Styela clava: one gene and its partners. The protein of the gene in region 1 interacts with the protein of each later gene in a pairwise test. Links are inferred from orthologs where the notes say so. Each region holds a gene or a part of one and is shown on either strand. Other genes may lie near its edges. The genes, in order: huntingtin-like, osteoclast-stimulating factor 1-like and abscission/NoCut checkpoint regulator-like.

The links.
Region 2: the proteins of huntingtin-like (region 1) and osteoclast-stimulating factor 1-like interact in binary tests that used the Homo sapiens proteins (3 or more experiments, as listed by UniProt). The link is inferred for Styela clava from reciprocal best matches to the Homo sapiens genes HTT and OSTF1.
Region 3: the proteins of huntingtin-like (region 1) and abscission/NoCut checkpoint regulator-like interact in binary tests that used the Homo sapiens proteins (3 or more experiments, as listed by UniProt). The link is inferred for Styela clava from reciprocal best matches to the Homo sapiens genes HTT and ZFYVE19.

What each region holds. Positions count from the first base shown.
Region 1 is NC_135250.1:24,315,633-24,319,390, forward strand, and holds the start of huntingtin-like, read right to left. Parts: upstream 2,274-3,758; 5' UTR 2,133-2,273; exon of another isoform or gene 2,054-2,132; 5' UTR 1-2,053.
Region 2 is NC_135253.1:23,031,113-23,034,870, reverse strand, and holds the start of osteoclast-stimulating factor 1-like, read left to right. Parts: upstream 1-873; 5' UTR 874-1,001; coding exon 1,002-1,169; intron 1,170-1,821; coding exon 1,822-2,310; 3' UTR 2,311-3,758. Other genes in the region: integrator complex subunit 12-like, read left to right, coding at 1-416.
Region 3 is NC_135255.1:23,672,068-23,675,825, forward strand, and holds the start of abscission/NoCut checkpoint regulator-like, read left to right. Parts: upstream 1-829; 5' UTR 830-931; coding exon 932-985; intron 986-1,678; coding exon 1,679-1,845; intron 1,846-2,973; coding exon 2,974-3,113; intron 3,114-3,758. UniProt on the Homo sapiens protein: Key regulator of abscission step in cytokinesis: part of the cytokinesis checkpoint, a process required to delay abscission to prevent both premature resolution of intercellular chromosome bridges and accumulation of DNA damage.

The DNA of each region.
Region 1 (3,758 bases):
ATGCTGTATACGGTATTAGTGGATGGTGAACTCAAAAAATGTGGTAAAAATGTACCGTATCACCAGCATGACAAAAGATTAAATGCAGCTTAGTCAGTTCATGGAATTCCTAACATATTTAAGCCAGTAACCAAATATACCGGTACTACCGGTATAGTACAGTGGTTCCCAACCTTTCTACCCTGGTGGACCGGTTAAATTAAATTAAATGTACTCGAGGACCGGCAAAAATTGAAATGACCGGAACATAAAAGAATATCGCATATTTGCGTAATACAATGCAACGTCGGGCACTCAATATGCATCTAGACAAAAAGGCACACTTAAAAAAACATCAATTAACTAAAAATTTTGCTGCTGTTTAGTTTCCAATATGGGATTGCAAACGATGCCTCAAGGAAGTTTCTGCAACACGTAGCCCTGCAGCGGCGTGCAACCAATTTCCTTGCTTCGCTTTAATTAAAGCTAGTGATGAAAATATTTTCATTTAAAAGTAATAAAAATATAAGTAACTCGTTGAAAATACGGACAACAGTTTGATTGCTCGATTACTTAGCGATGGGTATTTGTTATCAAGAGATATCCAAAATTGTGACAGTGATTCTTTTTTAAATCTGGACTGTAAAGTAGAATCACAATTTGAATCAAGCTTTTTCATTGGGTTTATCATATTAATCCCTGCCATGGACCATCCCTGCATGGGATTCGAACCTGCGAACCGACGCAGAGTAATTAGAGGTGCGGTGGCGAGCGTATTCCTAACGCTTAGCCCGTTGAGCCACACCGCCGCGGTTGGGAACCAATGCTATGGTATATGTAAAACAGAACACAAGGGAAATTTCTAATTGATCACTAAGCCATCTTATCCCTTTCCTTTCCCCAGGGATACGGTAAATAGAGAAATACCGGTATGTAAATCCTATGCTTTATTGCCTACACTTAACGCTGTAACGTTAAACCATTACCGGTACCGGTCCTATTTGTTTATACCAAACGCAGTCTTACCCAATAAATTAGCCTACCCACGGGCCACGGCATGTCTGTACAGCTGTATGTTGCGCCAAACCGGTACCGTAAAACCGGCTAACTTCGGATGATTTCACTATATTTTGAACAATATCTCCGCCGCATGTTGTTCAACTGAAGCCAAATTTGGAATATAATACATTGTGGCTATTCTCGTCTTGATAAAGTCGGTTCCATATCCATCAAAGCCTTTTTTCATTGAAATTATTGTCTTTATTCGTCTATTCTAAAATTATCTAACTTCGGATGGCCACTTTTCTCTTTGCGTCAACTCGTCGTGAGAGAGAAATGTCTGCGTAAGCAATGACGCGTGACAACGTCGCTGAATAGACCTTACGCCGCCACGACCTGTCTTGCGTGTTGAATACTGACGTTTGTACGTGACGTTACTCTTGCCGCTTCGCGAAGCTTAACTATTTATTCTTGTGTCCTTTATTATAACTCGTATATATTTCACTAACTACTCCTAATTTATTGCAAAATGCTAGTTCGTTCTTTTATGATCGTTTATTTTCAATGCAATAAAAGGATTAGCAAAAAAAAAAAACGGAAGAATTGAAAGTACCTAACACTGGTGTAGGTTGAAATTGAAATGCAATATGGAACAAGTAAAGAATGAACAAAAATTAGACAATTAAAAATAAACGGATGAATCGAATGAAACACTGGCAAAAGTAAAAATTGAAATCAAAAAGCAATATGGAACAAGTAAGGTATGAACAAAAAATCGACAGTTAAAAATAAACAGATGAATTGAAGGAAACGCTGGCAAAATCAAGAATTGTAATCATTTCCACATGGGTTAGACGGGTCTTGTGGAACCAATGTGTTTCGCTGCAGCTTTCGCAACCGACCCATTCATCCTCAATTTCCGTACTTCCATTTGGTTCATTCCATAATCCACAAGCAGAGCAGGTTTCGTCTTGATTATCACTTTTCATATTTTCTGATTTTCTCAGAGCTCCCCGTTGATCGGCTCGGCAGAGGTTCCTGCCCGGTGTGACTTTCGATCCTCGCTTTCGTTTCACTTAATAAAGTCAAATGACAATAAACGGATAAAAACGGCAAAAAGAAACTTTGCCACTTTTTTTCATTTTGCGCCTCACCTGTATGTGGTCCAACCTCCTGCTGTGTGCATGTATGTAGAGTTCTACGCTCACCTGTTAAAGATATTATTATCATCTGCCGATCGTAAACAGACATATCTAATCATTATGATCGTATAGATACATGTTTCAGGCCTAACGTATTACCAATTGCTACGGTATCTATCGGTGTCGGAGGAAGTATGCAAAAACAAAAATCGACAAATTTCATATGCATTAAGCGTATGCATACCCATATTTTTAAATAAACAACATATGACTGAGACGATAGTGATGTTTTTGTAGGATTTAGTGACTAGGATCATGTATAAGCATAATTTTTAAATTTCACAAAACTGGGCGCCGCGATGTCTGGCGTTCAAATGTCGCAGCGAGTAACGCACGAGCTACGCAAAGTGACGTCGGCTACGAAGAGAGAGAACGGGATTTGCGTCGTTGACGTCACGCTGTACGTAATCATCAAAACGTCAATATTTTAATGTAATTTTTAAATCAAAATAACCGATTTCACTCGAATCTCGTACGACACCTTGTGATCACTGTATTTTTTTGTATACATTGTGTACGCTCTCTAGCGCTTGGCGGTGATTTGACGAAGGTAGCGTCTGTAGAAGTCACGATTTGAGCCGCTCGAAAAAACGGTGTCATTTTTTTGGTAAAATATGATTTTTTGAATGATAAAAAATCAAATCGAGCGATTGGAGGCTACGGCAGATTCAGATATGTAAGGCCTTACTATAGAAACCGACAGAAGCGCAATACGACGAAATTTAGTTGAGATATGAATGATTGAAAATTTCATCCGAAGTTACAAAGCATCCGAAGTTAGCCGGTTTTACGTACCGTACCGTAACGGCTTACAACTAATACCGGTATCATTTCAGTCGGCACTACTGCTGTACTGAGTAAACGCTAATCACAGAGCGATTGCGTTGTGAGTTTTCTTTACTGGTACCGGTACCGGTGAGACTTTATGATTTTCACATTTTTGAACACGTAGTGGACATAACGATCGTTTCAATATTATGTTGTTCTTGTTGTTTGACACAGAATAACACACCTAGTGGAAATATTAAAAAACCGCTTTTCTCTTCGAATACCGGTACTGGACCAATTGCTTTGAAATTTTAATTGGTTGAAGATAAAATTTTTTCCCAGAAGGCTATTACTTTTATTCATTTTAAATATTTCTGTTAGCTCTGTGATATTTGTTTTTGTTTGCCATGATGTCGGACGCCATTTTGTGTCCTACTGTACTGCTTCGCTTGGTGTGAACAATGACATTAAACAACATGATAGGCAACTCTGACGTCACTCCATAAGACTACAGGCAAAACATTGTATTTCATGATACGCTCCAATGCACATATTTCTCGTCGCCTTTCGCGTCCGTTTTCCGCTCGCTTTTGCTACTCGGCGTCTTTTTTACGTGTAGTACCTGCCTTTTTGCGCCTGTAACGAAACAAAATAATCTCTATATCTAAGAAGTTTTGCTTACTTGGAAAGCTGGAATAACAGGCAAGCTGTAAAGAGCAATTCTGGACATCATAGACGTTTTTTTTTATCAGAAAAGATTACAAACGCGATAGCGGATTATTTTCTTCAATTTCAAATGCAATTACATAT
Region 2 (3,758 bases), on another chromosome or scaffold:
CGACTTTACAGTCATCTGGAAATGGATCAGTTGGGGGGTCGTTATCTGGATGGGCTGCTTTGAGTGGAAAAACAATTCCCCAACCATCAGCGACAACAAAACAAGTAAAACCTACTACATCTGGGGTTCTATCTTCTAAAGAAAAGCGTGATAAATCTACTAAAATGCCAAAAGTTGGGCCCAAACTTGCTGTATCGGATGCATTTGCCGAAGCTCTTGGAGCTGATTTACCGACAGGAATGGCGAGTTCGTCAAAATCAAGTTCACATAAGTCAAATCCATCGTCATGGATTTCTACTTCTAAATCTTCAATGTTTCCTAAAGCGGCAGCAACCACTAGTCTCGCCAGTGCGGAGAAAAGATTCCAAAACATGAAGAAAAAAGCGAAGTTAAATTCAAAGAAATCGAAGATATGATTTTTTATTCATGACTTCGCAATATTACAGTAATGACTCGGTGATTGGCGAAACAAGACTCTATAATTCATTATAGCCCCAGTAGTTCTCGACTTCCTGGTGGTTGCCCAGGACTCCACTCAGATATCTTTGATTTATGAGTGATTACATGTGAACTTGCTTTGAGCGAATTTCCATTCAAAAAAATTCTGGTGCTAACAAAACAGTAATTGGAAGACTTAAAATAAAATTGTTCTGAGCTTTTCATTTTCAATAACATAACATAGGACTTTACTTGAAAAACTAATTCAAAACTAATCTGCTAACTATCCCAAATTTTTGGTTTCTTTGTGTTTACTGTTTAGATATTTGTTATAGGTTCAAAATGATGTTATAATGTATATGGTTGGTTGTATTGTGAATTTTTCTTGGGAATGACAACTGTAGTCCCAATGAAAGCGCCAAGCCTGTTTTAAAATTCATCAAAAACTCTACATGTTATGTACTTTTGTTATTAAATTTCAAATGCCTAATTTTCTGCTTTTTCCAGGTTCAATTAAATAACAATAGTCTTATAAACTAATTAACCCCTAAACGACCACAAAAATGTCTTCGAAATCAAGGCCACCCCCTCCCAGGCTAGCTCCAAAACCAGGAATGGTAAAGACATTTCGAGCTCTGTATCCTTATGAAGCGCAACAGAAAGATGAGTTGTCAATTGATGAAGGGGACATTATTTATGTGACTGACCAAAGTGATAGCAACTGGTGGAAGGTAGGTGATGAAATTGGTTAATGATGTGTAACTGGTCGGAATAATAGTGGTTGGAGGTAATAGAGCATGACTGGCCGGAATATTTGTAACTGATTTATGTGACTGATCAAAGTGATTGCAACTGGTAAAAGAAGATAGGTGAGGGAAGCTATCCCTGGCTGTCCAAAAAAATTGGAAATTATTTGGATACATTTCAAATACCAATATTCAATATAGTGAATTTTTGATGGCAGGAATAATTCAGAACAACAGAGAAATAATTTTCTTTATATTTATGTTGTTTCAGATACGATCAACATGAAAATAATAAAGTCATTTATTTAATTTTCCATATGAATTTGCCCCCAATTTGGAATGTATTTGACATGCTATATTCCAAAATATTTTTTAGAATGTAAACGGAATAGTGAAATGCACAGTTTTAGCCATCCGTTAATTGACTATGAATCAAGGCGGTAATACAAAATTGCGAATGCCCGAAGTTAAAAAAAAAATGAAAAAATTCCAAAAAAGGCTGCTTTTCTAGTCGTTTTTCTAATCAAAACTTGTGGCTCTTTTCACCGAAGTATTTCGATACAAAATTAGAGATGTTAATCCTCATTTTCTCAAAAATATTTTTTTACAAGTCGTATCATCATTTATTCTGTTTCAGGCAACCTGCAAGGGTAAATCAGGTCTCGTTCCTAGCAACTACATGTCAGAGGATAGCGCTGGAGCGATTGATTTCCCACTTCATGAAGCAGCGAAGCGTGGAAACCTAGATTTTCTTCGAGAATCACTTCGGAATCGGGTTGGAATTAACGGGCAGGATAAAAGCGGAAGTACAGCTTTATACTGGGCTGCTCATAGCGGGCACGGCGAAGTTGCAGATGAGCTAGTACAGAATTCGCTCACCGATTTGAATTCCCAAAACAAGCTCGGGGATACTGCACTGCACGCTGCAGCTTGGAAAGGCCATGATGAAATTGTCCGTCTTCTACTTGAGCGAGGTGCAAACCCATTGTTACAAAATAATGATAAAAAGACACCGTTTGATTTGGCGTCCTCTCCAGTGGGGGCGAGTCTTCTGAAACCAAAAAAATGTAACTCCCTTGGAAGTCTAAGCGATGATTATCTGGGAGATGGTGACGAATCTGATTAACTTTTGCAAGGTCATGAGCGAAACCATATTTTTGTCATATCTATTGATGAATCTTGGATATTTGCACTCTTAAAACTATTTTATCAGTAATTTTTCTCTTTTCAGTTAATATCGGTTCGCTTTGAGAAAACTTGTAGAAAAAACTAAAAATTAGTAACTACTCGTCTCCAGCCTTGCCTACTATTTGATTAGACATTTGGCACTGGTTGCTTCTAACTCAGGGTGATCCAAACCCAGGCCCGCGGGCCACATGTGGCCCGCCGCTTCATTATCTGTGGCCCACATCACCTCGGAGAGTAATCAGAAAATCACATTTTGTGTTGTTTCGTCATAAAATAAATCTTTTGACATATTGTCATCACTAATGTCACTGAATTAAATAGTGTTATGGCTAGCTGAGGAAACTAGCAAAATTGAATGATGTGCTTTTCTAAACTGTTACCTGGCTTTTTAACATTTTGGTCGGGAATATATGCTAGCAATATAGGCATTATAGAAAACTAAAAATTAAATGCGGATTCTATTGGCTATGACTGATAACTATGTGTTTGCGCAATAAAAGTGTTTGTTTTGTATTGCACTGTTTACCTATTCTTGGCACTATTGTGACCCGCGGACCCGATAACCTTGGACCACCCTGTTTTAACTATTCTATCAGTAATCTTTGTACTTCTCATTAATGGCTCATGAGCTTGCTTTGAGGAAACCTGCACAAAAATTGTATGTATAAGTGTTGGTTTGAAAAATTGAATTTTTTTCCTGCTTCTCATTGAATGATTGCCCTAAGCCTTGTTCATGGTGTCCTTGAAACTCCGTACAATTCTGTTTGTAACAATTCTTATTCCATTTTCAGTTTATAAGGTTTTGTGGAATCTCGTAATAATAGGTTTCAAATTTGTGACTGGTTTTCTGAAACCTCATTTACTTTCAGTTAGACCAGCGTTTCTCAAAATTTAGTCACATTTTCGATTTCTGTTCTGTGGAACAATCTGTAGAAGCTCATGAAACACAGTTTGAGAAACGCTGAGTTGGACATTCGGCAGTGGTGCACAAAACTATAATATCAGTACTATATCCATTTTTGTTGAGGCCGAATGAATTTGCTTTAACTAAGTTGCATTAGAAATCCTTGTTAAAAAAGTCAGTATGATTACTTATATTGATTGTTATGTCTACTTAAGACCACAGATTGGATTATAAATTACCAAATTAAATGGACATTTACATTTGCGTATATAACATTCTATCAAATGCTGCACTTTTATCATCATCGACTAATAAATGGTACTCTCTGAATCATGTTTTCGAATTTGTATTTTGTCATTCCATCATTTTATAATTTTGTGTGCATTCCCTGATCAGTGCGGTGTTCTCAACCTTTTTTCTATCGTGGCCCACTTTTGTTGCACGAAAAATTCTCTGTGGCCCATCAACTATCTCATGCATGG
Region 3 (3,758 bases), on another chromosome or scaffold:
TTTCACAGTTATCATTGTTATTTACTTGATCTGGTAGATTTCCTGTTGAACTGCAGTTTGTTATTTGTGAGCTAGAGATGTCTGCGTCAGCCTTAACATTTCGATCTGCAAGTTGATTATAATAGTCCAAGCCTGCATTAGGCATAATTGTTTCCAATAAAATTCTTTGATCATGTATTGTAGCAGCGACATCTAAATTGTTTGATATCACCTGTAAATTTTTCATTTGTTGTACCTTCGACTTTTCATCATTTTTAGATAGAATAGATCCTCTGTGCTATCTATTCCATTCCATTATGGGGTCTGGTATAGTTTGGTACCACAAGTACTTCCGGTTGGCGTAGCATAACAAATTTTGTACATGTTATTCCTAACCCTCACCTGACTATGTCATCCAAAAATCACGTCACTACGACGTCACAATCACGTCATAGAGCTTGCCAAGTATAGCTACTATCATCTGAAATGGCATCTGCGCCGACAATACCGAACTCACTAACGCTAACGGCCTCTCTCATATCGGGATCGTTGCGACGAGAAAACGAGAGAAATAGTATGCTAGATTTCGGGTGATCGTCTGCGCGTTTTGGGCGACCATCCGCATACTTCGGTGGGCCTTATTACGCCACTGTGACGTCGAAATGACGTAATTTTTTGGTGACATAGTCAGGTGAGGGTTAAGAATGACATATGCGAAAATTGTTGAGCCAGACCAACTAGAAGTGCATTTGGTACTAAACTATACCAGACCACCATTGTGCATATTTGAATGTTCGCTGGACGTTATCCTATGCCCACTAGAAGTACTTGAGGTACGAAACAACTAAATCTTTTTATCCTGATATTTGAAGGGTAAAGTAGTCACTTGACGTATAAGTGGATTTTTAAAAAGTTGTTGGTTATAGGATTATCATACTGAAATAGATTGAACATGGATAAACGTTGCAGGGTTTGCACTTCTAAGTTTGGGATCTTCAGAAAGGAGGTAAGTGATTACAGCACATCATAATTTTCTGATATTTGTTATCAACTAAAAAAATGTGAAACAGCGGCGGTGTGGCGCATCATGTTAAGCGTTAGAAATAGGCTGCCCTCACACCTCTGATTACTGGATACCCTGAGTGTGTTTACAAATTTGGAGCGTGTGAAGAGGTTGGCAATCATTCACCGAGCCCCTCAATAAATTTATAAAAATAAAAATTTTCTATTGGAACTTACAGATATTGTCATATTTGCTGTAATTACCACCTTGTTGCCACATTTTGACGCTACCTTTGTCAAATTTCATTAATGACGTTGTTGGTTATTTGGACAGTTACAAAATTAGCCAAGTCAGTATTTCAATAGGTAAATGAATAGTTTGCGGAGCCTCCTAAGTTTATTTCCCGGAGCTCTGGGCCTTCGTATAGAGCACTTTGTGAACCTATGGATTACTGGATACTCCAGTAATTGCGACTCCACTTCTCTGCTGTACAAAGATCGATCTTCATATCGGCCAATTCATTACATTTGTTTGTTTATGCTATTTCTTTGTAAGAAGGATTGGGGGCTTCCCAGTTTGATATTTTTCACCTAATTTCTGCCCCTTGGGTGAGGTGATGTCATGGAATTTAAACCTAAGAATCTACGATGCCAGCACAGCTAATTTTAAATCCCTAACCACCTTGCCAATTGACAGGTTGAATGTGAACGATGCCGTATTGCACTTTGCAAAGAATGCCGATCGTGTACATTGACCGACCCGAAAGAGCAGAAAACACTTTCCGTTTGCAAGAAATGCCACACCGCTGTGACGTCTGGGAACACAAAGCCTAGACCACGGTCGCCTCCAATGAATTTCAAACGGTATGTAAATGTGTCAACATAATATATTTTTTATGCTTGTACAAGCAGCCAGAGATATGTGAGAATAATAATCCAGCGGTTCTCAACCTTTTTTCTTTCCTGGCCCATTTCTTTCTACGAAAATGGGCGCTTTCACTTGATATTTATAATGAAATTTATCACTCAGTAGCAGAAAACATCATCATCAATCATTGTTACTGCAATTAAAATTAAGGATTAGTGATACAAATCAAACTAGCTATTTTTAAAAGTTTTGTGGCCCATTTCGAAATCTTTGTGGCCCAGCAGTGGGCCATGATCCACTTATTAAGAAGCAGTGATCTGATTGGTTCAGCATTGCCCACTCTGTTTCTGAGTGGGGGTGGTGAGTGTGGGATTATCTTTGTCATTTATTTTATGTTACATCGTGTCTGCCTCTATTGTTACATAACTGTTAATAAGTAGCAATAAAAGTTGACACTACTTGCTGTAATTGGGTGTCTGGCAGTTCATTTATCTTCCGAACCGAGTTTAAAACTAGAATATCGGTTAGAAACCGAAGACTTATCGATCGAAGGTTAGGGGATCCCCCAAAACAGTGGTCTTACTCCATAGTGACACCGTGTGTCCCATCACTAATTAATTAATAACTCGCTAATTATGAGACATAATCCATCCAAAATCAATAGGCTTCTGATCCGAGCTATGGTGAATGCACATGCAAAATTTGGAGCAGATTCCACCTCGCTTTCGTGAGATATCGCGTGCATCTAACACACAGACAAACAGACAGACAAATACCTATCAACATACTTACAGATCTTAAGATCGATAAGTAATAATCCGGCTGATATGAGAAAGAGAAATGCGCTCCTGAAGTATGAGTACCAATGTGGATGTTACAAATTTGTTTGTTCATTTTACATCAATTTGTGTAAAGCGACTAAAAACCTATGGACAGGAGGTATATTCACTTAGCTAACACTGACAGTCCGAGCTCGTAACAGATTAAACTTATGGCCCAACCCCAACCAGGTATGCATACGTTGTGAGTACCCAAGGAATTTAACCCTTTTGTATTTATTAATCAGACCTACCTGATTGCAAACTTTAAAATGTCGCACTTTAGTTTAAGTCCTTGTTTTTCAGTGAAATGGAAGCCAAAGAAAAAATGAACGCACAAAAACGTCATCTGCCCAAACAAACAGTCTCTGTGGAAATGTCAGACGAAGATTTGCAACTTGCGGAACGTTTTCATGATCTTATCGATGAAACTTCAAAATCAAAAGGTAAGAGTTTCAATTTCATTTGTTTCGCTTGTCCCTTTCATCTATTGAAATAGTAGTCTCCCTGCACCTCTTATACATACTTTTCAGACGACCTCCATCACATATATCGCTTCCGTGTTGCAATCCACAACATAGACTCCTACCACATCTTTTATTTACTTCTCACACTCTTTCTGCCACACTTATTTATTTTTAGACTCCCTTCACCCCATATAATCATTTTTAGACTCCTTACACCTTTTTAAATTTCTTTTAAGGTTTTAAAGCCAAGGCCATAAGATTGAGCCATTATATCAGTTTTCCCTTTCTAAAGGAGATCCACAGTATATACAGTATGTGCTCGTTTTGTAGCCCGGGCTTTTTTTTTTTTAACCAAACTCATTAACCGGGCCCTTATTCAAACCGGCCTTATTCAAGCACGAGCGCTTGTTATTTTTAAAGTAAAATTATACACAAAAATATATAAAAAAACATATATATATATAGATAAGATCGATATTGTCATTTCCAGTTCTCAAGTATGATTTAAACGAGAATAACGGAAATTTTGACTCTTTCTACACATCGCAGGTACAAATCCACAAAAGAAGAAAAGTTTCGCGACGCCCTATCAATATTGAAACGCCGCACTTGGATGTCGCGACA